Struthio camelus: one gene and its partners. The protein of the gene in region 4 interacts with the protein of the main gene of each other region in a pairwise test. Links are inferred from orthologs where the notes say so. Each region holds a gene or a part of one and is shown on either strand. Other genes may lie near its edges. The genes, in order: RABGEF1, CWF19L2, TBC1D22B and TRIM54.

Region 1 (7,526 bases), on a different chromosome or scaffold from region 4:
ATATTTTGTAAAGCGATCTTCTGAATTGGTACATTTGGCTTCACACTCCTATATTTTCTTCTACTGCGCACCACTTTGATTTTCACCAGGAAAACACTGCATCAAGCTACCGTCCTCTTCCTAATCCTCTCCCCGCAAAACACCTGTGTAACCCTGCCCAGAAGGCCAGCGCATTCGACTCCTGAGGCAAGCTCTGTCCCTGTAAGATGCTGGTTCCTCTTAAGCGGAGAGATCGCTAGTCTCTGAAGTCCCTTATCGACTGAAGGGGCTCTCAGGTAACCGCAAACACCAAGAACCGGCCGGCACAGACCCCCCCGCCCAGTACTGATATAAGGCGCTGCCGATACGAAGCACCACTTCGAAGGTCACTTCCTAACTTTGCGACTGACCCAGAACAGCGTGAGAGAGGGCGGCAGCACCGGGCTGGAGCCAGAGCTGCCGCCCCGCCGCCCCAGCCCCGCTCCATCCAGCCGCACAGGCCCCAGCGCGGGGACCGCGGCAGCCCCAACCGCAGGGGACTTAAGATGGTGCCGAACCACACCCGGCCAGCTCCGTCCTCGCTCCCGGCCAGCCGGAAACCTGCCGACGGTTCCCTCCCTCCCTCCCTCCCTCCCGGCAAACACAACCGCCCCCTGCTTCGAGGCGGCGGCCCGAGCACCGGGCCGGATGCTCCCACAGCCGCCGGCGCCCGCGACAGCGGCCGAGACGCCGGCAACGCCGAGAGGGCTCCACGCTCTCGGCCGCGGCGAGGAGGGAGGGAGGGAGGGAGGGCGGCGGCCCCGGCCCCGGCCCCGGCCCCATCTCACCGGCGGCGGCGGCCCCGGCCCTCCCGCCCCGCTCGCGCTGCTCCTCCCGCGGCGGCGGCGGCGGCGGCGCTGCCCTCCCGGCGCTTCCTCCTCTCGGCGGAAGGGCGCCTACGTCACTTCCCTTCCGGGGGGCGGGGCGGGGCCGCGGAAGGTGCGCTGAGCGCGCCGGGCCTCAGCCGCCGCCGGGCGCAGGGAGGCGCGAAGGCGGCGCCCGGGCAGGCGCCAGCGGTTGCAGTCATGCCGTTCTTGGTTAAAACGTCGCCAGTGAACGGCTTTTCCCTTCGTTTTAGCGCTGCTGGCAGCGGGGGGAAGCTGGCGCTTGGGCGCTCGCCGCCCGCTCCCCAGCGGAGGGCAAAGGGCGGCGGCCCAAGCGCCGCGCTGCGAGGCGCCGCGCGAACGCAGCGGGCTTACGCCGAGGGCCGGCAAACGGCTGCTTCCCGGCCGCCGCCACAAAGCTGCCGAGGGCCAGCCGGAAGGCCGAGGTTCTGGCGGCGCCGTGACCCAGGCGCCGAGGCGTGGCCGGGCCGCGCAGCCTGCAACGGCCGTTAAAACACCAAGAGGAAAGAACACCGCAGGCCTTCAGACGCTGCGCCTGCGAAGAAAGGCTCCTTCGCCCCAAACGCGCTGCAAGAGCTGAGAAAAGGGAAACTCAAAATCACTGGCATGTAAAAAACACTGATGCTTGACCACAGAGCTCGACCACGCTGGAAAAGGCTGCCAAAAGCTCGTCAAAGCTGTCCCTACGGAAAGGGTCGTGCCCAGACTGAGAGCGCGCTGCGAGCGGTGCGGCGCGACCTGCCCAACCCAGGGAATAAGCTGGAAACAACTGTGAGCAATTCATTCAGTTTTCAGGGCTAAATTTTCTGTCGGGGTAACAAACTGAACTAGCTCACTGAGGAGCCAGACAAGCGTCAAAGCCGATGCTGGAGAAGCAGCAGAAGTTCCCCGGTCAGCCGCAGCAAACTGCTAGATCAGCTCAGCTGGGTTGTGGCAGCTCGACGCTGGTTACGGCTAGGCAGGGTACAAGCACAGCGGTTTTTTTACGGCGCGTTCACAACAGAACAGACTACGCTCTGAAGCTGGTTGAATTACTTGAATCAGCTTCTGTTACAGGTTGACAAAGCAAAACCTTTGCGAGAACCCACCGAGCCTACTGAAGAAATCCTTGTTACCTGAGAGACCCTTGAGGGAACAGCAATCTCGTAGGAAGGGATTAATGCTAGACTAGAAGTCTGCAGATTCGGGAGAAAGGATGATTTTCATTAGCTGTATTCCGAGCGGCCTGGCCTGGAGACAAGAACAGAGCTACCACACACGCCTGACTCAAACGTGGTCTCGGGACCACAACATCAGGGCTGTTCCACACTCTCTGCGTTAGATACAAGCTGGAAATAGGAACAGTTTGTTCCGAACAGTTTGTCCCAAAGAATGGGAGAGAATAGGGAGATTCTCTCTCATTCTTTGGGAGAACCTACATGTCTTTGGGGGTCCTCTTCGCTGTCTTGGAAGGAGCAGAAACAACATTTGAACACAGGCATCCCTGCTCTCCTTTTAGGCACAGTAAACCAACTCCCAACAGCTTTGTTTTTAAATCACAACACAGGCATTTTCCAGATCAGACAGCTCACACGAATGCTTAGGAGTTTTATGTATGCTGATGGCAGCAGGAACAGAAATAGTTACCGTGACTGCTGTTTAGCCGTTTCGCTGTCGTCTTCCCCGCCCCTCCTTCCCCTCCATGGGCACATGGTTTTGAAAGCAAGTGTTACTTTAGTAAGACAAAAGAATAGCAAGAAAATGGTATTTTAGTTACTTCTGAAAAAAAAAACTCCCCATTGAACCCAGTCAGCTCAGCAAATGCGGTATCTTACTTTTTTCTGTAGCATTACACAAGTGGAGAAAGCTGCTCAGACCTCGGCGCGCTCTCACATGAATGGGTGGGTATGTAGGGAAGGAAGTACAACTCGAATTATCTGTCTGATACAAGTTTGTCTCCCTGAGGAGACTGCAGACGCTGCATAAGTGCCATCTGTTAAGGAAGTGATGATGAACAAGTTACTGGTTGGTGCTATTAGAGAAAAGCTCGAGAGAGTCTGGTGTCTCAAATTTCATTTCCAGTCATGCAAGTCAAACTCTGTTCACATGGAAAATGAAAAGGGGGAGTGAGTGTAATACTTGTGAACCAGATTAGCCAGATTCCAACAGTTTTCTGTTTAACATACTTTTATTTCACAACACAAACTTTATATACACATCATCTATATATTTTAAATAAAAATACATCATTATATACTTTACCTGAACTGAAGAGCTAAATGTAGTAAATAAAATGCTACCGTACCTACAGTATTAAACATCACACAACAACTTATTTAAAATAAAACACATTTGGAGATAATTCCAATCCTTAGCATCCAGACTGGATTTTCAAAGGCATTAAGGGCTAACAATGCATAGAGACATACAATTTATAATTCAGCAAAATAAAATCCATTTATAAAAGTCACAGTGAAAGTATAGGTAAACTTATACTAAACTTGTGTAAGTAAAAGGATTAAGAATTGTTCTGGAAAGCAACTTCCAGTAAAGATACCTATACACAGAAATAAATAACAAAATGTAATTATCCTCTGAAACATAGCTTATTTGCAGAAAGAGAATGAAAAACCGGACGGTTTATTTTTTTAAAATCAAATGATGTTCCCATAGCCTAGAACTCGGAACTATCCTAGGTCCCCTCTGCTGTGCATGAACAACCTAAAACACATGCAATGGGGCAGCCATAAATAACCAAAAAGATCAATGCAACTCCAAGGCTCAGTAAGGCCAATCAATACTTAAAGCCACCGGGGTCTACAGACCGCCCACAGCTCCTAAAACGAGGATGATGAAAGAAAGAGCATGCCCCACAGGTTATGATGAGTTCAGAAATGATCTTTCTACATTCTTTGCTCGGCAGTCTGGTCTGCCGGGCAACTGTGTCCCAAGCTTTAATTACTATTGCCATGCAGAAAAGAAACATCCACTCTGCAAGTGGTGGCATAAAGGTCCTCAAACCTCTGAACAACTGCTGCTGAAATTCAAGTAGGATGACCCAGCAGCCACCTCCCCAGTCATTGCTGTATTTCCCAGTTCAATCCAAGGCCACCTAACTTGATACATCACAATACTTAGGTGGGGAAATGGATGAACACAGGCCAGGACAGCTGGGCTGTCCAGCTTCCAGAAAGACTGGATCCTCTGACTGACCTCACAGATAAGCGGTGATGAACGTTCCTCTGCCTCACACCTCACCAGAGTTGAAATAAAACAAACAAACCAAAAAACCACTGTACCATACAAACGATCAGCTCTGATATGAGACTTGCCCTGTTGGCACTTCTGTCATCTTTCCCATCAGGTCACCCGTCCCGGGTCATCTATAAACAAGAACGAGCAGTGAAAATAAAATTGGGCAGGAAGGTTCCCAGCGGTTGCTAATTCAGTAATGCCCCATGGACTTAGGAAATCACGACCATTTACTATACTGATAACTTTAAACACAAAACAAAAAAAGAGAGAACCACAGAAGGCAGTTCATGCAGTTATCCTCCAGCTCTTAAGCAAGCAATCAACAAGACCCTCAAAATCGTAAAATACAAGCGCCTAGCCTAAATATGTATCTCTGTTTAACAAAAAGAAGTCTTAAGGTTTTAATTTTTTAACTCTTTAGTAAAAAATGAAATGGAAGAGTGAAATTAATGGGATTATGAAATACATTTTTTTATTAATTTATTCAGATATTTTTGTCAGTCCTGAGAATTTCACTGATTCTTTAGCAACTATCAGTCACTAGCTTGTAATACTAAAGAGAATCCCTTTAGGTTAAAACGGACTGGCAGTTCACCTTGCAAACAAATTTGAGGGTGCAGCAGACAGTAGTAGTAAACTTCCTGCCCTTAGAGCCATGCTTCTTAAGGGTTAGAGCAAAGGGCAGGGACCAAGAGGAAATCCACTCAAGAGTCATTATCTCACTGCGAATCTTCAGGCCGGACACTTGATCTCCTTCTGCCACTTACACTTCATCAGAAAAGTGGAAATGGGGGGGGGTGTGGAGCAGGATCTCACTGAAGTCCTCCTTCGGGGCCGATGAGGAGTATCCCTGGGGAAAACACACTGCAGAACTAAATCCCTCTCACTTTCATTTTTGCAATAAACGGCGCACGCTTAATGCGCAGGATACGCTTGAAACACTCACTTCTGCGGGGCAGCGATCAGCAGCCTCAGCGGCCTTCAAGATTCACCAAGAAAAACACAGATATACCGGGAAACATAAATAAGAGAACTGGCCAGCTTCCCTGATGTGCAATACATGCATTGAAACAACTCGGCTCAGAACGTATTACTGTTTAACATAGCAAACACTTAAAACAGTTGCAAATCTTGACATCTTTCAGCGTTTACTGGAATTTTAACAATCCCTTTAGTAAAGGCCGATTACGTGCTTACACAAATCAGTGCATTTCTCCTGTAACTAGAAGTCTCTGACTTTTCCTTTCAAGGACTTGTACTAACCACATCCAACCCCGTGACTACTTCGTTTCGCTGCTGAAGTGACACTCATCTAAGCAGAGCGCCGGAACGGAGGCTGCAGTTGGATTATCGAGTACGAACTCGTTCAATGGACTCATTGTTAAGTAAGAGCGCCTATAACTGTAATAGCCTTTGCCTTTCCATATATTGAACACCTCTGGGATAAGTGTTTTTACCAGACGGGGTTGGGGGGGTGTCTAAAGAACAAGGAGGCTTTTTCAGACACCTGATGCTGAACTTTCCCTTAACTCTCATGGTAGTTTGGGGGAAGGGGGTCGGGAGGGGTAACAGAACGGGACAACAACAACAAAATCACAAAAATATCCATACCAGCAAATTCATGTATTCGTATACGCTATATTGTAGGTGTCAATACATTACTAAATTAAAAAAAAAAAAAAAAGCCCCCTCACCAGTGCAGAGACCGATCACTGATTGCAGGTTTGGGTTAAAACGGGCTTGCAAAAAACATCGAGCAGCCTCAAAAGAAAACATGCGCCAGGAAGACAAGAGCGAATCTCCTAATGGCTCAAAGGCTTGTCAGATAAACGACGCTAGCACCTTCACTCTCCTCCAAGAATGCAGAGTCAGGAACGAGTACCTCAGATCACTGTATAGAGTATTGTGGTATTCAAGTTAAGAAGCTCACACCAAGTTGAAAAGCTAATGTTGCCCTTTCTTGTAACTCTTGAAATCAACAGTCATTAAGTGGACACATTACATACACGTTGAACACACAGCACTGCACATAAAGATCTTCTCATGTCATTTCTTGAGTGCTTTACAAAAATGAGTAGGTATCCTCATTTTACAAATGCCAAACCAATGCAAAAACATGCTTAATGTGCAGTGAAACTGGCCAAGTCACTTAATGTCAGAGCTGATAAAAGGATCTCTTTTCGCTCCATGTTAAAAACCACTACATACACAGGGGACATTACAAGACGAGTCTTGTTAACTGTTTAGACATGCAGCAACCTAAAAACAGCCAACGGTTCTACTTTTCAAATAATTACCCCTCAACTGTCCCACCATTACCCCGTTATTCAAAAAAAAAAAAAAAAACGCAGAGAAATCACTGCAATCCAGATATGCAATTTGTGCTTTGAAAATATTTGAGAATTTTTATTTGGGGGGAATCGGGGGGGGGGGAGTTGCTTATTATATGCATGTTTCTGTACATCATTTAGGAACCAAAAATGGCATGCATCCTGTCCCAGAAAGCTAACTGAGAAGTATCTCTCCTTCAAGTTGAATAAGCTAAATGGACTGACATGTATTGTCTTTTCGATAATCTGTACACAACAGTCATATCAAAATTATACTGATGACATGAAACCATTTACTGCATGACCAATTTGTCCAAGAGCATGGTATCAGCTCGCACAGGATTTAGGGGTGGTGGTGGAAAAGCAGTTATGTAGATATTAAAGTTGTGGAAAAATCAAATAAGAGCAGCATAGAGAAATAGGTAGGAATGTTCTAGCAAGTCTCTGGCCTAAGTAGACATGAAGAAACATACCAAAGTAAAGAAAAAAAAAAGCAGTATTACATAAGCATTTAGTTTAATTAGACAATCATATAGCATTCATGATATACAAAAACATCAATCATCTTAAACATGGATTTAGTAATCAGCTACTCACATTTTCGTTGCAAACGAAGAATTTCAAAAATTATGCTATATGCCAAGAAAAGATAAGTCAATAATGTTACATAAACCAGTTATTATATTCCCCTGACATCCTCCTGCACAACTCTTCTGTTTCTGTCAAAAAACGAATACATATTAGGCAATATCATCTAAATCACTGTAAACAAAGACTGCTTAAAACAAGTGTAGTCAATAACAATATTGTTAACTTGCACAAATCACAAGACACAGACTGTATGTGTTTAATGAAAGCCTGTTGGCTCACATCTGTGTTTTCTTTTTTAATATTGCACTTAATGTTTCCTGTCTTCTGGAGAATCTGAAGAATGAAAGTTTCAATTAAGATGCAACTGATACAGGCCAAGATTTTAATTTTCATCTTTTGGATTAGATATTCTTCCTTACTTGTTTTGGTTTTTAAGTAATAAACAGGAAAAAGTTATAAAATATCAGTGCATGAATGTTAAGAAATTGCAAACGTGATCGGAAACAGC
Region 2 (7,903 bases), on a different chromosome or scaffold from region 4:
CATAATATAAGCTTACTTGGTGTTGCCAGTGTGTTTCCAAAAGCAGGGCCCTCGAGGGTGATTTGTGTTTGAAAATGGGGTGAGTGGCAAGATAAACTGAATAGTGTTACCCTCTGCAAAGGATTTGCTGTCAAGAACTGTGACAAAGACTGTGGCTTGGGAGGTCAGGCACATTACTCAGACAGTAGTTACAGCTGTTTCTGGGTCAAGGGCTGAGACAAGGATTGGGTATGAAATTGCCCTTCCCTCTTAACACAATGCTGTAAAATAAAGAAAAATGAAAAGCAATTCCAGGAACTGTTCGGTGAAATTGGAGAGGAGCAAATTGCCTGAGCTGCTGCCAAGAGAGACAATTATGGACATTCTCTGTGGCAGACAAATTCTCTTTACAATTATCATTACAGTGCTGTAGTGCCTTGGAGCCCTTCCCATGGAGTAAGACCTCACTGGTCTCAAAAATTTTTTTCAGTGAGCATTCTCCATTTCATTAGAGAAAGCATTTCCTGCTGTACTCCCATCCCCACAGGTTTTTTGAATCTCTATTGCAATGAAGGATAGATCGTCCTATGATACTTTCACACCTTGAGCCTTGCTCGGGGCACAGCAGCGGCTTTCTTCAGTGTGTGTTTCCTATTCTGATAAAATCTTTTGTTTTCGACTCACAAAAAGAAAAAAAAGCATGCAAAAGCCCCACAAGAAACGTGCTGAACAAATGATCGTTTCGCATGTGTAACGGTACCATTTGCACTTCCTCACAAAACATTTATTAGTCAGTAGTTGTCACTAGAGAATTTCCCAAAGAACATCTCTTGCTATTACCGTCATGCACCTGGGGTGGGGAGAGACAAAATGGATGTATTTCTAAACCTCTTCCCCCTGCTCTTTCTGACCATAGTTGGAGAGAGAACTTGTTTTCAAAGTAGCTGAGCAAATTAACAAAATAGCAGTTGCTTGGGAGCAGACAACTCATGTTTTGCTATTGAATATTGAACAATGGGTGAAATCATTCTTCGATCCCTTACACTCCCCTCATTCATCTTCCCTGTAAAGTGGGTCTCTTTTCCAAGGCAGGCTGTCAGTATCATCAATGTCACAGCGGCTCTTTTGTTGCTGCTGGGACCGCTCTTTTTGATGGACAGTAGAAATTTGTCTGGTTTTTCAATTCAGGCCCTCATTGCACAATTCAGGCAAGAGAAACCAATCACCTGGATGTTGCTACTGCATTGATTTTTGGGCAAGGCATTCTGTCATTTTGTGGCACAGTTGCTTTCAATCTCTGCTGAGGAAACTTAGTAACATTTCTATAAAAGAAAAATACTTCCTTCCATAAAAAAATTTCCATTTGTCCATACTTTTTTCATTCTTTGTTCTTTTCCATAATTTCTCAAGGGACTGCGTTTTCTGTTTCTTAACTGAGCCATTGAAAATGTCCATCCCAGTCTAAGTGATCCCTCAGAACCTAATATAAATGACTACGCAGTAGAAACGGCAAGTGAAAACTGGGTGGTTTGAAAAATGAACAGAATGAGAACTGACTGAAAGTCAGTCCATCCTGACTTATGTGAACCTGCCCTCCATCCGCTCCCCAGCATCCTGTTAGATATTGTGCTTCAGAATGGTGTTAAAATCCAGATAAGAACCTCCCCCTAGCAGTAAGCTGGATTTATCCATTACCTTGCAGCTTCACCGCTGCGGCAAAAAAAGTTTCGTGCTCTCAAAGAACTCCTTTCCCGAGTGAAACACTGCCCTTTGCTTAAAGGAAACTGTGCAGAATCGCACTGAGTGGAGAGGATTTTTTCCAGCCTTTTTCATATAAAAATAAAACGTCAAATGGAGCCCTAAAGGCAAGCAGTGAAAGTTAGCAGCATGGAGGTTTATAACACAGGTCCGCTGGAGAATCGCTAGCTTGACCGTGCAGCTTATTTGAGGGAAAGTGTAAAATGTGTTGTTACATGGGAAATAGTAATTCACTCTGCAAGGTCAGTGCCTCTCTGTGGGGGTTCAGGAAAGAGCAGTAACTCTGGAACATTATTGTTCTATTAGTATGTTTAATTTTGGCAGTGTGAATAAGATGACTGAGCAGAGGTGTCCTGCTGACCATTACAAGCTGTATACCAAAGACTTGTTCTCTAGGTTCACTGCAGATTTCTGAGCATGTGAGCAAGTCTCAGAAATACTAATATGTTAAAATAAATGAGACTGAAGTTTCATTTTACTCTGCTTCCTCTGAGAAAACCCTTTTCTTGGATGAGGAGAGGAAATGAGGTAAAATTGTCATCCCTTTCCTAACTGTTGACCCCATACATTAAAGTCATCTCTCAAAAATCACAAGATGGCAGAATGATTCTATTTTAAAAATAGCTTTTGAATTTTAATTGCTTTTCAATTTTTGCCCTTCTAGAGTGCATTTGTATCATTGTTTCTCCTCTAAAATCATGAATATTGGAAACTTGAATTGAAATGAAAATTTACAGTATTACCTTATTACATGATGCAGAGGGTTATGAATATCAAGAATAATACTGAATATTGCAAAAGCTTACACACTGTTTCAAGCTCTCTTCTTTGTCTGTAACTTGAGGTTGTGGAAAACACATTTCCTGTTCTGACTGCAGCTGCTGGTAGAAGAAGCTATTGTCCACAGCAGTTGCAAACCACACTCGTGTCATAGTTACTGGCCTTTCTCTTCTCATGCAGTTCTTCCAAACACTTCTTAAATTGTTTCAGTCAGAACTGGTTGGTTTGGCTCACGGACTAACAATTTGCTCTTTAGCTTAAATATAAGCCCATGAAGCCAATATACCTGACTGCGCATGAAGAGGGTTAGGGAGTACGCACCTGAACTGCTGGCTGCCTGGAGGAAGTGGTAAAATCTGGGAGGGAAAAGACCCAGTGTATCAGTAAAGAGCATACATCACGATGAGCACAGGCTTTCCTTTCTGGGCAAGACCTGCGCTGTTCTTGCTTCTCCTCTCTCAGCCACAGTTGAGAGTCTTTTGCTGTATAAAGCTAAGGAATGAGCACAGCGTTTGTCAAAGCTGCTGGAATGTCCCTTGTATCCGCCCACTTACTTTGTTAATTGCTTCCTAAAGGGGGCTGATGTGCTACTTTTTCATGCAATGGCTATTAAGCTCTATCAGTTATGATTCTCTGCCTAGTGGTGATCTACGACAGGTTTTTCTTCAGAAGATGCTGCTAATTGTCATAGCATAAAGTGAACAAAGATGCAAATATGATTTACACATTGAATACCATCATGGAGATGATTATTCAGTCAGCGTTACCACTTTTAAAACATACTATCCAATGCAAATAGCTAATGAATTACCCCAACATTTTGCTCAGACTTTAACCCAAATAATGTTACTATTATTTGGCAACTGTGATTACGTTTGGTGGCAGACACACAGTAATGATTTGATCTTGTCCCAGAGAAATTGTGTGTCAGTTAAATACTTGCTTCACCTGAGATTTAGCAGCCCCTGTCATATACTATTGGCCAACTGCAACTTGTATGTACTTGAACACATTTTTTAAAGTTGCGCTTCTCCTGTCCAGACAGGTATTGAGCATTGGCAACCTGCCAGCTATAGAAGCCATATGTTAGCCATATGGAAGCCCCAAACTGGCTGCAAATGGAAGAGAAAGTGGCTGGAAGATAGTTCTGAAGACGGATCGTAGCAACGGGGAGCATCAGGCGCTATGTGGAGTCTGGGGGAGTCTGTTGAGCCACATCTTTCCCTTGCACAGTTCTCCTTAATCTGGGCTCCAGATGAGAAGTCCGAGGCTCAGGTAGAGTCCTTTTGGGCAGCAGCAGCACCTAAGGCTGGAATTCGGCCTTCCCATACCAATACTCTGTATTCATGGCCCTGTGAGTCAAGCGCCCACTAAGCTGTGTGTGCCATGACATGACATATTTGCTGTGACATTGACCTGGCAGGCTGTGGAACGTCTCCTAGAAGTTGGTGTGTGTGTGTGTGTGTGTGTGTGTGTGTGTGTGTGTGTGTGTGTGTGTGTGTGTACGTCTGTAGGTTTGAGTATGAGGTCTGGAGCAGGGCTGCGGGCCTCGGGCACTCACATGTCCCGGCACCAGCAACTGGGGACAGCGGGGATCCTGGGGGCAGCTCCTGGAAAGGCTGAGTGTCTACGGGCAGCTGCTGGAGGGATCCACATCGTATGTTTATGTATATATATGAGCTTTCCACTAATAGGCTTTCATTCTGATGAGCTGGTGAGTGGAACAGCATGAGGCCATCAGCGCTGCTTGTTTGCGCGAGTGCTGTTGTCCGTCGGCGTTCACCTCTGTGGCCACGTTCATATACGTTCATATATTGTATATATTCATATATATGCACGTGCTGTATGCACGCTAATTGGGAATAGGTGCTCAGCCCAGGCTGCACCTGGGCACAGGGGGGTGCGGCAGCCCCTCTCTCTCTCGGGCTGCCGGATGTGGCAGCTCCGAACGGAACTGCCCTTTTCTCGCAGGGGGAAAATGGCGGTTTGCCCTAGCAGCAGGGCAGCACCGAGACAGCCGCAGGCCCTTACACAGCCCTAACCCTGCCCTACGGAAACCTTTCGCGCGGTGCCAGCAACGCGCCTGGCCCGCGGGCGGGCTGCCCGCTTCCTGCGGCGCTTTCGCTTAGAAACCCTTTTTTTATTCTTTTTTTTTTTCCCGGATCATCCGTGCTGCCACGCCCCTCGCCCCGCCCCCGCCGCAGCGCCCCGCCCCAGTTCCACTGCCCCTCGCCCCGCCCCCGCCGCAGCGCCCCGCCCCAGTTCCACTGCCCCATCGCCCCGCCCCCGCCTCAGCGCCCCGCCCCTCGCCCCGGAATCCCCGCCCCTCTCCCCGCCCCAACCCCAGTGCACCGCCCCTCGCCCGCGCAGCTCCCAGCCGTTGTTTACGACAGCGCCGTGCGTGCGGTGAAGCTGCCCGGCGGCTGCTTTACGGCCGGGCCATGGCGTCGGAGCTGGAGGGCGAGGCGCGGGTGGCGGCGCGCAAGGAGCAGAGGCGGCGGGAACGGGAGGCGCTGCTGGCACAGGTGGGACCCCCGGCCTCTCCCCCCTTGCCGGGCAGAGCCTCTCCTCCCTCCGGGCAGCTGTGCCGTGGCGTACCCGCGGCGAGGGGAGGCCTCGGCCGGCGGCCTCCTTCTGCCCGGCCCCGAGGGCGGCCCTGCCCGCGTCCGGGCCCGGTCACGGCGGCCGGGGGCTCCGGGGGGAGAGCTCGAGCCCCTTCTCCCCTAGGGAGAGCCTTGTGCTGTCTGGCCAAAAAGGGGGGCTGGACCGCATCACCGGCAGTGACGAAAAGCTTTTCATTGGCAGCGGCCTCAGTTTATGTGTTTTGCCATTTACAGTGGTATTGATCCGTTCGGTATTTCACTTATCGTGTATGCCAATTCTTACATTTAAAGGCAATGTTTATAAGAAAATTAGGCAAGTCAGTGAACAGCAGCAACTTTGCCAGAACACTTTCATTTCCTCTTTGAAATCAAAGAAGTTCATGAGTATAAGAATAGTAAAGGAGCGTTTTGCATGACGTCTGGAGCCTATGGAAAGCTCTGTGTAAAAAGTTAACTTGGAATACCTTGGGTAACAGATTGCACTGAATATCCCTGTTCCTCTCGATGGCTTTCTTAATAAATAATGTTGAAATGCAGCTCTTCAGAGAAAACTCTATTGCTTGGTGCCATGATGCATTGAACTGCCCTGTCCTTCTCATTTTATAGAAAGTCCCGTTCACATCCCACTTTTACAAGATCAGATTGCGCTGTATAATGTTTATTTTAAGATTTGTTGAAACCAAGTAGTTGCTGTTCTTAATCATGCTTAGGAATACTTGAGAGCTAGCCAGAAAACAGAGCTTGTTGTACTTGGCACTATACAAATACAAGGTAGTATAACTTCAGAGAGTTTATATAGACAGAATAGCCACCAAGTGAAGCAACAGATATAACACCAGCTTGATGACTTCCTAGGGAAATGTATGTGCTTATAATTTATTTTTTCTTCAGAAGGTAATATAATGGGTAGGTAACAACTTGGACAGAAATGGGAGAGCCTGTTTTCGTGGAGCCAAGATATTAACTGATTGGTTACATCTTGCTGTAGCGTGAGCCAAGAGTTGGAAGTCTCCCTCTCATAGATGTTTTTGTCAAGTTGCTGCTACTATGAGAGCTATGTTAGATTTTATTTGAAGCCTGCTCATATGCTATCTTTGATACTTGTGCTGTAAGCTGCTGATTCTTGGTATGCATGTAGAGTGCATCCAAGTAGAGTGAATGATAAAGTAGTAAATGTCATGTTTGTTCCGTTGCATGATTTATTTTGAAGTTTAAGGACTAGGAGATAACTACATAGAAAGAAAAGTGAAGAAAAGAGTAAGAGGAGAACTGTTAAGGAAAAAGTCTAAAGTTGTGGTGACGGACTTTCAAGAGAAGGAAGACTAAAGTAAGCAGCAAACAAATCTTACTGGACAATACTGTTTTCAGAAAAAAAAGGAATTGGAAAGTGGCCTGAATATCCCAAGCGGCCTACAGGGTAGCGATGTTCTTCCTCAAGGTAAAGTCAGAGAGAAGACTAGAAGTAATATGTTGTGTGGGTATCTCCCTTGCACAGTTAGGGATCTAGGAGCGTTCTAGTGGAATATAGTAGGCGATAGGATTTCCCTTAAGTAACTTATTTGTTGAGTGGGATGTAATTACACTGATTCTGTGCTGTAGGAAGGGTGCATTACAACCTTGAATCTTTTCCGCCTTTTGACAAGCAGTTAAAGGAAATTCCTTTGACTTGGTAATAGTAAATAGTACCATCCTGTGAAAGTTTTACTTTTCATTTTGTTTTGCATTTTTCGCTACATTTAAGTTGTTACTAGGACTCCTGCTTTGCTCAGTTCAACCTCTTGGGTCTTCAGAAAATACTTTTAACTGGGAATGTTATGTAGGCTGCCATTTTCCTATCTCACATTTTCTTCCCACTTGCTGCTGCTTGTACTGCAAGCTCTCTGGGACAATTTTAAAAACCTTTTACTCATTTTACCTCTCATTTTAAAAACCTTTTACTACTACAGTAGCAGTAGTTTATTAAATAACCATATTCCTTCTTTTTATTTCCTTCAACATACGTCAGCAGTTTAATATGAAATAAAGTTCTTCTGTGAAGATGTTTGCAAATTTTTGGTGTAATTTCCCTTCCCGAATACCTGTGGGTGATTTCACTTCTTTTGTTCGTATCTGTAAAATACTGTTAATTTTGACTCATAGATACAAAAACATCACAAAAGTGTTTAATGTTATAGTAACGGGATTGTGATATTAATTATGCTGCAATCTCTGAAAAAGCTCATTTGCAGGTAGCTTTAACCTGTCATCATGCCCGTTTAAGTTCAGGGAGACACAGTAAAGCTCAGGAATTGGTTTTGGTTGCAGTAGTGTTGGAGAAATGCTACAGCAATGAAATAAAGCAGCTGTCATAGAGGAAAAGGTTGAAGTGGCTGATGTGAACGCTTAGTCGTCCAGAGCATGTGAAGTAAGAGGTGGTGAAGGTGGTTTTGCCAGGGTTTGAGTTGGTACTAGAAAGCACAATATCTTGAGCGCACTGGCTACAGTTCCACTGTTAGGATGTCTCGAAGTCCTTGATGATACTGTAGCCTTGTAGGTCCTAACTGTCTGTTCCACCCATTCTTATAGGTTTGGATGCTGTTCTTCAGCTTTGTTGAAGACTATTAGAAAAAACATGTTCTGAGGTTTTAGGATGAAACTAAATCTAAATCCTTGCCATCAGAAAAAGAAGGACAAAGCGGAAAACAGACAAACCAAAAACCTAACCTCTTCTTGACAGCACTCCCTGAAGTTTTATGTAGGAAAAAATTGCAAATGGGAAATTGTTTTTTTTTGTTTGTTTGCAT
Region 3 (7,456 bases), on a different chromosome or scaffold from region 4:
TTGGCCCAAGACCGTGGGGAGAAGGGGCTGGAGGAGAGGAAAAGGCCCTTTTAGCCACCCCCACCCCCCCATGCACAAGCACATACGTGGGTTGGGGGGGGGTTACACTTAAATATTAATGTCAACAAGCTAAAACATGAGGGGCCGTGCGGTATGGCACTGTTGGGAAGCAGGTGAAGGGAGGGACCCCGGGCCGGACGGTTCGGTTCCTCCTCCCTGCGACTCGCCAGCGAGGACTCGCTGTCCTTTGGGGCCATCAGCCACCATAAGAGAGGACAAGAGGTTGGTCCTGTCCTATAGTCCCCCTCCACGGTCCTCCCGGGAGCCAGATGGGACAAAACCTTGGGACTTATCCAGCAGGGAGCGATTCTGAGCCAGCGCTGCTCTCCCATCTCCCTTGCATGACTCTCTATGGCTCCCCGGTTTCGGCCAGGATCTTGGAGTACCTGCAACGTGGAAAGCAAAAACAAAAAGATGAAACAGGACCAGGATGAGATTTCAGGCCATTCGGCCTCCCGTTCCGGGAGCGCCGAGAACTTGCCAAGGGCCAGCACTCATCACGCCTCTGCCTTCCTTGAGCAACGGATGGGACTACCGGCTACAGCTGTAAACATCTGTCCCCAGCTGAAGGCGCTCGGCCGTTTGGAAAGGACTGGCCGGGGGGGGGGGCCTGGAGTCACCCCGGGAGGCAGAGCAAAAGGGATGTGTATTTTGCACATTATTTTTCCGGGGACCGGAGACTAACAACAGCCAAAGGCCTGACACGGCTGAAAAAACGCACGCGAGCACCGGGCAGAAAAGCTACCCGGGGAGCGGGCCAGGCTCGTCGCAGGGACCGCCTAACTGGTTCACCTCCGGCAGGGCAGGCGACTCCGAGGGAGCTTGCCCCGCGTCCCGTCACGAGGAAAACATCCAGCTGCCCCCGAGGCGGCAGCCGAAACCCCGCGGCCAGGGCCCTTCTCGGCACGGTGAGTCACACCAGCTATTTTAAACGCCGGCCTTAGGAGGAGATGAATTATCAGCAAACCAGGTGTCCCACGGCTTCGGCTCCCTGGTCACGAAGCCTCGTGGAAGTCGGTCTCCGAGCGCTTTCCGGACGTCCTATGTGGCAACAGCGTCATCTCCGCAGGGCACGTGGGGAAACTGAGGCACGGCGCCCTGACCCGCTGGAGATCTTCGGCGGCTGAGCTTCAGAGCGGGGCTGCCCTATCGCTGCCGCAGGTGAAGCGATAGCCATGGGGAAGCGCCAACAGCCAGTGAAAGCGAGCGCTTCCCGGCTTTCTTTACGGGCGCCCGGGCTCTCCGCACACGCGGCGCCCAGGGGAGCGCGGCCGGCCAGGTCGCGGCAAAGGATGCAGAAGCCGAGCATCCCTCCGCAGGCTCAGGAAAAAAAAACAGTTTGCCGGTAACAGCAAATTTGGGCTCGGGCTTAGCCCCCGCCGTGCACGTTAGGTCTGAGTTAGGGGTGTCCCGGGGGCCAGCATCTGGTGTCCCGTCCCAGGCCGCCGCCGAAAACCCCGTGCTGTGCCAGGTGCCGGTTTCGGGCAGCTGGAGCCCTGCTCGTGACCCGAGTCTCGTGTTTCGGCTCGGTGAAGCCACGCGGGGTTGACACTGACCTTCCTGAGAGCGGGGTCTGACCTAGCCCGGCCTCTGTTACACCCCGAAAGGGCATCACTCGTCCCTAGCGTTGGTGGGGTTTTGCCTGAGGAAAAAAACACTTTGTTCGGGTTAAAAAAAAAAAAAAAAGAAAAAGAAAAAAACCTTTCCACTGCGTAAAGTTGAGTCAAAATTAGCAAAAGGGCGGATCAAAGCGATTCTTTCACCTTCTCCCAGGCTTTTTGTGCCCTTCCTCCAGGGTAATATTTTGATGTCCTTAACCACTGTGTTTTTTTTCCGGTTAGGAGGGGGTTAAGCGACCTGAAAAATGAAACAAAAGCTCTTGTTTCAAACCGAAGCAGCCATTTCAGTTACCCTGAAAGGACAGGCGGGCGGGCGGGCGGGAGCGCGGGTGCCTTCGAAAGGGGAGAGCGGGTTGCGGGGAAGGCGATCCGGCCCCGCCGCCGCCGCCGCCAAGCCTGTGAGAAAAACAGCAGCAGCGAAACGTCATTTCAGGTCAAGCCGCGCCGAGAAACGGGGCCGGGCGGCGGCGGGGCGAGCGGGAGGCTTCGCGGCCCTCCCAGCCCTCTCGGCGAGGCCAGGACCCCCCCCGCGGCCTCCTGAGCCGCCGGTACCTACTCCCACCCCCCCGGCGGAAACCGCCCCCGCGCTCCCCACCGCGCTGCGCCCGTGCCCCGCGACAGCGGTAGTCTCCGTGCGGGGCTGCTGCTGGTAGCAGCTTGCTCCGTGTGTCCCCCCCCACCCCGCCGGCGCACGTGCGCGCCCATGGGTGCGCGAGCGCTTCGGTCCGTGTAGGTGCCCCCCCCCCCCCAAACCATGTGGGTTTGGGTCGGTTTGGCCCCGGTTGGTGACTGCAGTCGCCAGCTGAGACCGGACGGCAATCAACACGCTCGGCTGGGGATGCTGAGGATTTGAGCTCGGTCCTTGGCATCCCTCCCCACCACCCCGTCCGCTGGGTGGGTTTTCTCTCCTGCTCGGCTTTTTTTTTGGGGGGGGGGGAACAGAGCAGGGACCAGGAGCCACCTTCCCCTGCCGGGGCGGAGGGGGACGCTCTCTTGTTCCCCTAGCAGGGTGTCTGCAAGCAAAGTCTTTGATAAAGGCAGTAAACGAAGCAGGAGAAGATGATCTGTGAATCGCAGCGGAAAAGCGGGAGGTACGACTCCTCCACCAAGCAGCTCTGCCTCCGGCCGGCGGCAGCCACGCGCATCCCCCCCCCAGCCGAGACGGAGGGGAGCGCCGACAACCGGGGGACGAGGGGCCGCTGAAAGGGCCCTAGGACAGACGGACAGACTCTCTGGCCGGCTCCGACCCCCTCCACGGGCCGGTTTCCCTTTCTCCGCGCGCAAGACACCCAGCTGCCCACCGCCAGCAGCGGGGCTCGCAGGTGCTCGGGCCGAGGAGCCGTGCCGTGTCTGAGCCCCGGCGGCCCTGTCCCGCCTCAGGGCCCAAACTCCTTGCGGAAACGTTGGGAGCGAGACCTCCCTCGCAGGATGAAGTGATTTGCGGGCCGACGTTTTTAACCATGCGCAAAGCCTGGGGACGAAGGAGCGACTCTTGCACCCTGGATGCCCTCACGTGCGGACCGGGTCCCTTCGGGGAACTTTGCTCGCCCAAGGCACCAAGCTCCTGACCAGCAGGGCTGTGATCTCCCCGCGCCTGGGAGCCTTGAAACGCACTGGGGTTTTGTTTTTTTTTGTTTTTTTTTTTGCTAGCGATGAGTTTCCCTTCTCCGCTAGAGCCTCGGCCTGGGAAAGGGAAGCGATTCTTCTCTCTCTGGGCTTTCGTTCTAGCCTGGAACCGAAAGCTACAGGCTCGCTTCCCCCAGAAACCTCTGCCCGCGCCTCAAGAGCGGCCGGCGGAGAGGGGAAGAGCCATGGCGGGTTACGGCTAGGCACCCGGCTGCCAGGCCAGGCCGGGCGGCGCAGCCAGCCACGGGCCTGTGCCGCCCTCTGCCGTCAGCCGCCCACCGGCCGGAATAAGGCGGAAAAATAAATTAAATAAATAAAGCAGAAATGTGCTGTGAAACACGCTGTGTTTTTCCTAGTTTATCCCCCCCCCCCCCCCGCTCCACCCCGTGTCTATTGGGCGGGTGGCATTTGGAGGCGCCTCACGCCTTGCCCCATGATGGCGCTTCCCCCCCCCACCCTGCTTGTCCTTATGAGGGGACAACCCTGACAGCAGGTTCCTGTGGCACGACCGAGGGGCTGGAAATGGCCCCAAATGGCCTCAAATCCTTGAGGGTGCCATAAAAACCGTCGTGCCAGGCCAGCCGCCCCGAGGCGGGACAGGGATTCTGTCACGGCCCAGCCCTGACAGGCGCCCTCCCCCCCCCCCGCCGTGCGCATGGTACAGCCCCCCCCGCGCCCCGTAGATGGTTTAACCCGCTCCCTCCCCCGGCCGGCCGTTTACCCGCCTCTCCTCTCTGCCACCCCCCCGCCTTCTCCCGATGGTTTCGCCCACTCCCCCCCCCCCCCACGCAAGAGGCTTGACGAGTCTGCCCCCTCTCCTCCCACCCCGCAGTGGAAATGGTCTGTCCCCTTCCCCAGCGCGACGTTTAACTCTATCCGCCCGCCCTCCCGTCTCCCGCGCGGATGGCTTCTCCCTGTTTCCCAGCCCAGGGAGGCAGCTCCGCCTCATAGCCGATTTTGGGTCCCCTCTATTCCCCTCAGTGGGAATGGTTCGCTCCATCCTCCCCCCCACCCGGGGCGGAGATGGTTTATCCCCTCCTGCCCCGCATATGGTCTCTCCCGCCTCTTGCAGCCCCGTCCCAACTCCTGCTCGCCCCGCCCCTTCCCGCTGGCGATTGGCCGAGCCGCAACGCCTTGAGCGAAGCGGCCAATGGCGGCCCTTCCCATGCCCGGATCCAAGATGGCGCCGCCGGGAGCTGCGGGAGGGTGGCGGTGAGGCGGCCTGCGGGGGGCCGCCGCGTTCCTCCGCGCTCCGCCGCTCCCGCCGCGGGGCCGGCCGGCCGGTGGGCTAGCTGGCTGGCTCGCTGGCTGGCCGGCCGGCCGGGGCCCGCCCCTCCGCCATGGCAGCCGAGAGCGGCCGGCAGTTCTGGAAGCGGAGCGCCAAGCTGCCGGGCAGGTGAGTGCGGGGGGCCGGGCCGGGCCGGGGCGGCGGGTGGCAGCGGCCCCTTCCCCACAGGCCCGGGGGGGGGGCGGCGAGGCCGTGTCCTCCCGGCTGGGGGGCCGGGGCAGCGCATGGCCGAGAGGAGGGGCGGGGGGGCAGGAGTCATGTCCCCCCCCCCCCCGGCTATGACTTCGTCTTGAGGGGCAGCGTAGCCCCCTGCTTGGGGGGGGGGCGGGACAACCCCTCGGCTGTGGGGCGGGGGGGGGGGGCTGCGATGGTAGGGGGTGTCAGGGCATCCCTTCCGGCTATGGAATGGGAGAAGTGGGGCTGAGGGACCCGGAGTAGCCCCCCTGCCCTGGGGAAGGGGTGCCCATGGCAGCCCCCCCGGCTATGGGGCAGGGAGGGGGCGGCCTGAGGGGCCCCCCTGTAATGGGAGAGGGTGCTGGGAACAGCCCTCCTGGCAATGGGGGTGAGTTGGGCTGGGGAGGCCCCCCAATAGAAAGGGGGTGTCAGGATTGTCCTTTCATCTGTGGGGCAGGAGAGTTTGTGTGGGGGCTGTGGGGAGCCCCACCTGCACCCCTGCCCCATGGAAAGCATTGCGGAGGGTGTCAGGGCCTTGTAAGGCTCCTCCTGTAGCCGGGCTGCCTCTGGGGCAGCCCTGGAGCCAGGGCTGAAACATGCTCATCTCCACAGATGTTGAAGAAGCCTTCTCCTTTTCCGAAGCCCTTAGCGGTGTCTCCTTGGGCAGCAGCTCCCCTGTCCCAAACAGGTGCCCCTACCGAAACAGGTGCCCCCCTCCTTATCCTCTGCTACGTGGGGTGTCACTCCTGGTCCACCTCTTCCTGATACCCTGCTGTTTTTGACAGTCCCTCCACTGTTTGGGCCTGTGGGGCATCCCTGTGTGCACCTCCCCTGCTTGGTTTCCTCCGGGTGTGGTGTCCTGTTTCCTGTTGAGGCATCTGTGTTCACCTGCGGGTGGGAGAGGGGAATGAGTAAAATGTCTTGCTCAAGCAGAGCAAGAGGAAGGGGCTGGTGGCGATGAAGGAGATGCTTCCTACATGGCCTTGAGAGCAAGGTTCCTGTATGGAGGCAGTGTCCAGGGAGGGTGGGGAGAGGGCACCCACCTCTCTGAGGAGGTTTTCACAAGTTACGTTTTAGTTCGATACTCCTCAGTCTTTCTACTATATTCGTGCTCCTGTTTGCCTTATCTGAACCCTGCTGCCCCCTCCTGATGTGCACTCTGAAATGCTTAGCTGGCTTTAAATCCTGCTAGGCCAGTTAATTCTCTTTCTAATGTGCTTTCACTCTTAGTCTTTGCTGCTGCTCCAGCTCCCTCAGGTTTGTGGGACAGTCCAGATCTGTGTCAAGCAAAGGGCGAGCAGTAAGCATAGCATGTTCTTCTTTTCTTCATGGGGGAAGAAAATGCAGTGCCATCCATGGGTGTTTTCTTCTCCCTGTTGGTGACCACCTTTGTCAGGAGGTCCCAGCTGTGCTTCCAGCTGGTGGTCTCTACGACAGCATCTCTCTTCCACGGCTGATGACTTTGGGCTTCAGCTTGGAAAGCCCAGACTAGATGAACCGGTTTGGGAGGCAGTCAGTCGTGCCTAGACAATGAGCTTCAGCGTCAAGTATTTGGCAGAGTTCTTCCCTCCTCCTAACAGGCTAATTTGCAAGTATCCGTCTGTCGCCTGGTGTCAGGCAGGCTGGTTGCCACCTTTAAATATCCTGTGTACCTGTCCTTCCCAGGGGCAGTTACTTACAGGGATCTTGGAGACCTCATTCCTAATGGACAACGCAACTGCAAAGGGTGGAAGTCGGACGTGCTGTGTCCATGGTCACTAGATGTGATGCTCCCTTTCCAATTTTTGGTCTGGACTTTGAGAGATCTTCCCATGCAGATTCTTGACTCTTTCCATTCTTTGCCCTGACAAGCTCACAGAGGAGGGCTTTGTAAAGATTTGGAGACAGTGTTAGGTTCCTTTTCTGTGATATTTTGTGAATTTGGTTGCTTAGTTTTATTAGCTTTTACTTGGTGCTTTTTCTTTGGAGACGTAGTGTTGTGGCACTACTAGTAAATGCTGTTTCATGTTGCCAGTAACGTCTTGTGTTCTCACAGTGGGAATTCTCACTCCAGTAAGTTTTTAGGAGTGCTTTGTCAGGTTGGTTTAGCATGTTATCCTGTGGGGTGCATTCTGATTATTTCCTGCTTTTCAGAGAAATGGGCGGCAAGACACCAGGGAGTTTTATTTAATTGCTGTTTTAAAAGGGGAGATGCAGGCTCCACTGGGAATAAAATATGTTCTGTCTCTGGAATGGCACCGAGGTTTCATGGATATGCTTTCTGCTGCAGTGTCACTAACCCAAACACTGTTATGATCTGCTCATGAGAAGTGTAAAGCAGATAGCACAGCGGAGACTGGGAGGCTGTTGTACGGGGCACTGAAGGTACAGGTAATGAGAAATGCCTTGTCCCAAAGAGCATGAACTAAAATAGAAGAGTGCAATGGACTGACTTGTCCAGCCAGTTCAGTGGCACAGATCTGAGGACATGGTTTAGGACTCAACTCCTGACCCAGTGGTGTGTGTGCTGAAATGTAGTGCCTGCATTGAGCTTTCCGTCCATGCAACAGTCGGATGAAGACAGCTAGAGACAAAGTTCATCTGGGGATGCTCCATTCATCTAGCAGAGCTGAGGTGCTAGATGGGAGGTGGGGGGGGGGGGAACAGACACGAGTGAGTAAATAAATGTTTACTGAGCATCACTTGGGGG
Region 4 (7,225 bases):
GCTCCCCCGTGGGCTCCCTTAGATCCACAGGGCTCGGTCACCCTGGGCTCCCCCCGTGGGCTTCCCCGGTGCCACCCCTGGCTCCCCCGTGGGCACCCTTAGATCCACGGGGCTCGGTCACCCCCGTGGGCTCCCCCCGTGGGCTCCCCCGGTGCCACCCCAGGCTCCCCCGTGGGCTCCCTTAGATCCACAGGGCTCGGTCACCCTGGGCTCCCCCCGTGGGCTTCCCCGGTGCCACCCCAGGCTCCCCCGTGGGCACCCTTAGATTCACGGGGCTCGGTCACCCCCGTGGGCTCCCCCCGTGGGCTCCCCTGGTGCCACCCCAGGCTCCCCCGTGGGCACCCTTAGATCCACAGGGCTCGGTCACCCTGGGCTCCCCCCGTGGGCTTCCCCGGTGCCACCCCAGGCTCCCCCGTGGGCACCCTTAGATCCACGGGGCTCGGTTACCCCCGTGGGCTCCCCCCATGGGCTCCCCCGGTGCCACCCCAGGCTCCCCCGTGGGCACCCTTAGATCCACAGGGCTCGGTTACCCCAGGATCCCCCAGTGGGCTCCCCCTGTGAGCTCCCCAGGTGCCACCCCTGGCTCCCCCCCGTGGGCGCCCTCAGATCCACGGGGCTCGGTCACCCCCGTGGGCTCCCCCCATGGGCTCCCCCGGTGCCACCCCAGGCTCCCCCGTGGGCTCCCTTAGATCCACGGGGCTCGGTTACCCCCGTGGGCTCCCCCCGTGGGCTCCCCTGGTGGCATCCCAGGCTCCCCCGTGGGCACCCTAAGATCCACGGGGCTCGGTCACCCCCGTGGGCTCCCCCCGTGGGCTCCCCCGGTGCCACCCCCGGCTGCCCCAGTGGGCTCCCCCGTGGGCTCCCCCGTGGGCTCCCCCGTGGGCTCCCTTAGATCCACGGGGCTCGGTCACCCCCGTGGGCTCCCCCCGTGGGCTCCTCCGGTGCCACCCCAGGCTCCCCCGTGGGCACCCTTAGATCCACGGGGCTCGGTCACCCCCGTGGGCTCCCCCGTGGGCTCCCCGGGGCCGGCCGCACCTGGCCGACTCCTGCTTGTAGATGTCGATGATGTTCTCCACGAGCAGGTTGCGCTGCAGCCCGTACACCCCGTGCCGGTCCAGCACCACCTCGTGGCGGCACGACGGGCACCGGAACCGGCCCCCCGACGGCACCGCGCTGGAGCCCCGCGACTGCCACAGCGGGTTGGACGCCTGGGGAGGGGGGACGGGGGGGGTCACAGGCCCCCCGAGGCACACGGGACCCCCCCCCCGGGGCACCGGCAGCCCCTCTCCCCCGGCCGCCCCGGGACGGGAGCTGGAGCGGGGGGAGCGGGCAGCCCTGCGCCCCGCCGCCGCCGGCCGACACGGGCTCCGGCCCCCTTCCCGGCCGGTCAGGGTCACACTGCCCCCCAACCCCGCCGGGGGGTCGGGGTCTGCTCCGGCCCCCTTCCCGGCCGGTCAGGGTCTCACTGCCCCCCCCGCCGGTGGTCGGGGTCTCACTGCCCCCCACCTCCCGCCGGTGGGTCGGGGTCTTGCTAACCCCCACCTCCGCCGGTGGGTCGGGGTCTGCTCCGGCCCCCTTCCCAGCCGGTCAGGGTCACACTGCCCCCCACCTCCCGCCAGTGGGTCGGGGTCTCACTGCCCCCCAACCCCGCCGGGGGGTCGGGGTCTGCTCCGGCCCCCTTCCCGGCCGGTCAGGGTCACACTGCCCCCCACCTCCCGCCGGGGGGTCGGGGTCTCACTGCCCCCCAACCCCGCCGGGGGGTCGGGGTCTGCTCCGGCCCCCTTCCCAGCCGGTCAGGGTCACACTGCCCCCCACCTCCCGCCGGGGGGTCGGGGTCTCACTGCCCCCCAACCCCGCCGGGGGGTCGGGGTCTGCTCCGGCCCCCTTCCCGGCCGGTCAGGGTCACACTGCCCCCCACCTCCCGCCAGTGGGTCGGGGTCTCACTGCCCCCCAACCCCGCCGGGGGGTCGGGGTCTGCTCCGGCCCCCTTCCCGGCCGGTCAGGGTCACACTGCCCCCCACCTCCCGCCAGTGGGTCGGGGTCTCACTGCCCCCCAACCCCGCCGGGGGGTCGGGGTCTGCTCCGGCCCCCTTCCCGGCCGGTCAGGGTCACACTGCCCCCCACCTCCCGCCAGTGGGTCGGGGTCTCACTGCCCCCCAACCCCGCCGGGGGGTCGGGGTCTGCTCCGGCCCCCTTCCCAGCCGGTCAGGGTCACACTGCCCCCCACCTCCCGCCGGGGGGTCGGGGTCTCACTGCCCCCCAACCCCGCCGGGGGGTCGGGGTCTGCTCCGGCCCCCTTCCCAGCCGGTCAGGGTCACACTGCCCCCCACCTCCCGCCGGTGGGTCGGGGTCTCACTGCCCCCCAACCCCGCCGGGGGGTCGGGGTCTGCTCCGGCCCCCTTCCCAGCCGGTCAGGGTCACACTGCCCCCCACCTCCCGCCAGTGGGTCGGGGTCTCACTGCCCCCCAACCCCGCCGGGGGGTCGGGGTCTGCTCCGGCCCCCTTCCCAGCCGGTCAGGGTCACACTGCCCCCCACCTCCCGCCGGTGGGTCGGGGTCTCACTGCCCCCCAACCCCGCCGGGGGGTCGGGGTCTGCTCCGGCCCCCTTCCCAGCCGGTCAGGGTCACACTGTCCCCCACCTCCCGCCGGGGGGTCGGGGTCTCACTGCCCCCCCCTGCCGGTGGGTCGGGGTCTCACTGCCCCCCAACCCCGCCGGTGGGTCGCGGTCGGCTCCGGCCCCCTTCCCGGCCGCCCCGCACCTGGAAGACGTCGTTGGCGCACTTGCGGCAGAGGTTGTGCTGGCAGGGCAGGATGACCACGGGCTTGGTGAACATCTCCAGGCAGATGGGGCAGATGAGCTGCTTCTCCAGGCTCTCCATGCTCCGCGCCTCCGCCAGCAGCGGCTTCAGCCCCACCGCGAAGTTCATCGCCGCGGTGCCCTCCTCGGCCCGGCCCGGCCCGGCCCGCTCCCGGCTCCTCTCCGGCTCCGCTCCGGTTCCGCTCCGGCCCCGCTCCCGGCTCCGCTCCGGCCCCGCTCCGGTTCCGCTCCGGTTCCGCTCCGGCCCCGCTCCGGCCCCGCTCCCGGCTCCGCTCCCGGCCCCGCTCCGGTTCCGCTCCGGCCCCGCTCCCGGCTCCGGCTCTGCTCCCGGCTCCGCTCCGGCCCCGCTCCTGCCCCGCTCCGGTTCCGCTCCGGCCCCGCTCCGGCCCCGCTCCGGCCCCGCTCCCGGCTCCGCTCCCGGCCCCGCTCCGGTTCCGCTCCGGCCCCGCTCCGGCCCCGCTCCGGCCCCGCTCCCGGCTCCGCTCCCGGCCCCGCTCCGGCCCCGCTCCCGGCTCCGGCTCTGCTCCCGGCTCCGCTCCGGTTCCGCTCCGGCCCCGCTCCCGGCTCCGGCTCTGCTCCCGGCCCCGCTCCGGTTCCGCTCCGGCCCCGCTCCCGGCTCCGGCTCTGCTCCCGGCTCCGCTCCGGTTCCGCTGTCCCACGCTCGCCCCGCTGCCGGCCCCGCTCTCGCTCCGGCCCCGCTGCCCCACGCTCGCCCCGCTGCCGGCCCCGCTCTCACTCCGGCCCCGCTGCCCCACGCTCGCCCCGCTGCGCCCGCGCTAATTTTAGCCGCCCGGGGCCTGCGCGGGGCCGCGGCAGCTGTCAGCGGCGTCGGGTGACACTGAGTCACGGCGCCCGGAGGGGGCCGCAACGCCCCCCGGGGCTACGCGCCCGGCCCCGCTCCCCTGCCCCGGCTGCCCTCCGTGGCCGGCCCTCGGCAGGTCCCCCTGGCCCCCCTCAGCCCCATGCCCCGTCCCCCCGGGACCACCCCATCCCGGTCCCCCTGGCCCCGCACTCCGTCCCCCCCGGGACCACCCCATCCCGGCCCCCCCAGCCCCGCACCCCATCACCCCCGGGACCATGCCATCCCGGTCCCCCTGGCCCCGCACTCCGTCCCCCCCAGGACCACCCCATCCCGGCCCCCCAGCCCTGTCTCTGCCTCTGCTCCGGATCCCGGCCAGCTGCGGGGGCACAGCCCCACGGGGCCAGCGGCAGCCCCTGGCCTGAAGGCAAGGACACCACCACCCCCTGCCAGTCCCTTCCCCAGCCCACGCAGCACAGCAGGGGACCATGCCGGGCGCCATTCCCAGGTGCCATCCCCGCTCCCAATCCCAGGACCCAGGGCTGCCTCCCCCCTCGCAGCCGGCCTCGAGCGCGCGGTGGGGCAGACCCCCCCTGTGCTGCCTGCACTGCTCCCCTGGGACAGGCCAGCTGCTCCCTGGGGACCCTCAGGGCAGCAGGGCTCCCCTGCAGCCCCCCCCCACAGGAACAAAGACGGGGCCGGGGCCGGGGCCCCTGCCCGGGCCGAGGCAGCAGGGTGGGGAGGAGGCTCCAGCCAGGCTGGCACAGGGTCAGCAGAGCTCAGCCGCCCGCCAGGCCCAGGAGGAACAAAGCTGCCTGGCGGCCAGGTTCTTGCCCAACTCGGGGAGGGTACATGCCCTTCCCGGGAGATAACGGAGCTGGGAGCAGGCTCGGGTCCCGTGAGCCCTGGCCAGAGCCAGCCCCCCCCAAGCACCGACATGGAAAAACGCCCGCCAACACTGGTGCCAGGGACACCCCCGTCCCGCACCGCTTGCCCTGACACTCCGGCTATATTTAGTGGGTGAGGCAGCGCGCACAGCTGCAGGCTGGGAGACAAGGGCCAGGGCAGCCCGCTCGCCCCTTCTCCCAGCCTGGCACAGGGCAGGGACCATCCGGGACACGCACGCGGAGCCATCAGCTGGCACACGCGCTGCCAGCGGTGGAAGCGGAGCCGGGGGGGCCGAGCTGTTTCTGGCAGGCGCAGAGCAGGCCTGGCCCTTGCGCAGGGGCACGCCGCACCGCTGCGGGCGCTGCCTCAGCCCCGGCGCGCCAGCCTGGCACCCCAGCGCCTCATCCAGCGGCACGGGGACAGATCCAGGCCGCACAGGGCTGTAGGGCCACAGTCTGCCTCCCGCCCCGGGCAGGAGGGGGAAGAGGGCGGCCGCGGCACAGCGTGTCGGCAGCAGGAGGAAGGACAAGTCCCTTCGCGCACCGGTGGGTGCTGGAGCTCCCAGCGCCCCCGTTAGCCCAGCAGGACCAGGGTGCCCCAGCCTGGCTCCGGCTGCCCTGGGACTGCCCTGCCCAGCCCAGCCGCAGGGCCCGGGAAAGGCCTGGAGCCCTGCTGGGCAGCACCCTCGGGAGGGCGCGGAGCTCTCCCCGGAAGCTGACAGGAGGCAGAACAACTTTCACTCCTGTCGCCAACTGTCCCCTCTGGCAGCACTCGGGCTGCGACCCACCGACCCTTCCTCGGCCCGCCACCCCTATGGTACGGCCACGGCTCTCAGCCAGAGCAGGGCAGAGCCAGGGAAGGGCACGTCCCACCGCCTGAGAGCGTTCAGGCGGCTCTTGCCGGGGTAGAGACCACACAGAAACATGTTCCCCTCCCATCATCCTTTAATGGTGCCCATAAAACCTATACAAACCCAAGGAAAGTGCCTGTGCCTGGGCCCAGCCCTGCAGGGAGCCTGCCAGCAACAGGCAGAAGGGGGTGCAGCCGGCGCCCCGCGACCACGGGGGCACAGAGCAAGGAGGTACAGAAGGCCGCACCCCAGCCCCGCGAGCGGCGTTTGGCACCCAGCACCCGTAAGGAGGGTCCCCACGTGGGCAGGTAGCGGGCTCAGCCCAGCCCCAGGGATTACAGTGCTAATGGTCTCTAATACCCTCGGCCGCTTCCTGCAGGCTGCGGAGCCTGGGCCAGGCGGCCTCCGCGCGCTGCTGGGCCCCAAGGAAAGCAACCGGCTCTGGCAACGGGCTGCCGCCACAGCCGCAAGCAGCGGCCCCCAGTCAAGCCAGAGCCAGCAGGGCAGCAAGGGGCCGAGGCGCACACGGGCCGGGGCGCCCGGTGCTGCTGGTGAGCGGCCAGGCCACGCACCGGGCTGGTCCCAGCAGGGAGCCAGTCCCGGCCTCTCCAGTCTTAGTCCAGTCACAGTGGATCCAGTCTGCCTTCAGCGGGGCCTCACCTGAGAGCTAGCGCCCAGGGCTGGGCTGGGACACAGCAGCAGAAGAGGCACTGCGGATGGGGCACAGCAGCAAGGGGCTCCAGGCCACCTCTGTTGCCAGTGCGGGGATGCAGGGTATCTCTGTGGAGCTCGAACAGGGGCACAAGAGCCTCTGCACTGATGCTGGCTAATTTAACCTGAGATTCTAGCCACAGTGAGGCTGGACAGCCACCCTGGGTGGCACGACAGGGGTCCTGGAGAGGGACAGTCCCAAAGGGGGATCCCTGCCCAGAGTCCTGGGGCTGTTGGCGGGGCTGAGGCCAGCCTCATGCGTCCGTCTTGGTGCTGACACCCGGCGACGGCTCTGCTCCAGCAGGTGGGGGCTGGGCCACAATAGGTGTCTGCACATCTGGAAAAGAAGACCTGCAGGTCAGCGGCTAAATCCCATGCTGCGGTGCCAGGAAACAGCTGCTTGTGACATCCCAGCACCCTCATTCAGCCTCCCACGAACCACAGCTCTCCAGCCCCATCTGACAAGGGCCCACACCTCCAGCCAGCGCGCAGCCACTCCAGCAGTGCCCCCTACCCCAGGGAAGCCTGCAGAGATGACCAGGATCACTCCAAATCCCAGAGTATTTCAGATTGTAGATACCAGCACAGCCACTGCCTACCAGCACTGGGAATGGGACCAGCCTAGAGCACGGCTGCTCTCCCCACGCTCCTTCCCCAAGGATTTCTAGATCCCAGAGCTGTGCCTTCAGGGAGACCTTTCCCAAGGGAAATCAAGGAAGCACAAGATATTCTCCATGAACCCTGCGCAAGAGTTCCCTCTACCAGCTGCCACCAGCCAAGACCCAAGCTGGAAACACCAAGCGTCAGCCCTTGAGCAGCAGATGATGCTAAGTCAGACCCTACTGTTTAACAAGAGCCCGGTCTCCCCAGACAAGACCAGACCTCCCCCAGAAACCCCGTGCAGCAGGAGCAAGCCAGGCACTCCCAGACGCAGGAGCTGGGCACACAAAAGGGAACAGAGACTGCCTAACTCACTGTTGTCCTCCGCACGGATCTGCGCCTCCAGGTCTTCGGGGTTGACATACTTGTAGGACTCGTCCTCCTCAGGTGGTCGGCACCTCCCGCAGCAGAAGCAGCAGCAGCAGCAGCAGCAACAGCAGGTGATGATACCACAGCACAGACCCAGGGCCTGCGCGGGGGCAGGCGCGCTGTGAGACAC

What was found.
Region 1: the proteins of TRIM54 (region 4) and RABGEF1 interact in binary tests that used the Homo sapiens proteins (3 or more experiments, as listed by UniProt). The two-hybrid records come from large-scale screens. The link is inferred for Struthio camelus from reciprocal best matches to the Homo sapiens genes TRIM54 and RABGEF1.
Region 2: the proteins of TRIM54 (region 4) and CWF19L2 interact in binary tests that used the Homo sapiens proteins (3 or more experiments, as listed by UniProt). The two-hybrid records come from large-scale screens. The link is inferred for Struthio camelus from reciprocal best matches to the Homo sapiens genes TRIM54 and CWF19L2.
Region 3: the proteins of TRIM54 (region 4) and TBC1D22B interact in binary tests that used the Homo sapiens proteins (3 or more experiments, as listed by UniProt). The link is inferred for Struthio camelus from reciprocal best matches to the Homo sapiens genes TRIM54 and TBC1D22B.

Annotation. Positions count from the first base shown.
Region 1 is NC_090957.1:15,661,078-15,668,603, reverse strand, and holds the start of RABGEF1 (rab5 GDP/GTP exchange factor), read right to left. Parts: upstream 3,017-7,526; 5' UTR 2,678-3,016; intron 2,575-2,677; 5' UTR 2,555-2,574; coding exon 2,490-2,554; intron 933-2,489; exon of another isoform or gene 807-932; intron 1-806. UniProt on the Homo sapiens protein: Rab effector protein acting as linker between gamma-adaptin, RAB4A or RAB5A. Involved in endocytic membrane fusion and membrane trafficking of recycling endosomes. Stimulates nucleotide exchange on RAB5A. Can act as a ubiquitin ligase.
Region 2 is NC_090942.1:205,989,152-205,997,054, forward strand, and holds the start of CWF19L2 (CWF19-like protein 2), read left to right. Parts: upstream 1-4,889; 5' UTR 4,890-4,958; coding exon 4,959-5,042; intron 5,043-7,903.
Region 3 is NC_090965.1:4,874,858-4,882,313, forward strand, and holds the start of TBC1D22B (TBC1 domain family member 22B), read left to right. Parts: upstream 1-4,455; 5' UTR 4,456-4,645; coding exon 4,646-4,701; intron 4,702-7,456. UniProt on the Homo sapiens protein: May act as a GTPase-activating protein for Rab family protein(s).
Region 4 is NC_090944.1:1,036,569-1,043,793, forward strand, and holds the start of TRIM54 (tripartite motif-containing protein 54), read right to left. Parts: upstream 3,010-7,225; 5' UTR 2,928-3,009; coding exon 2,760-2,927; intron 1,209-2,759; coding exon 1,036-1,208; intron 1-1,035. Other genes in the region: DNAJC5G (dnaJ homolog subfamily C member 5G), read right to left, coding at 6,321-6,403, 7,042-7,195. UniProt on the Homo sapiens protein: May bind and stabilize microtubules during myotubes formation.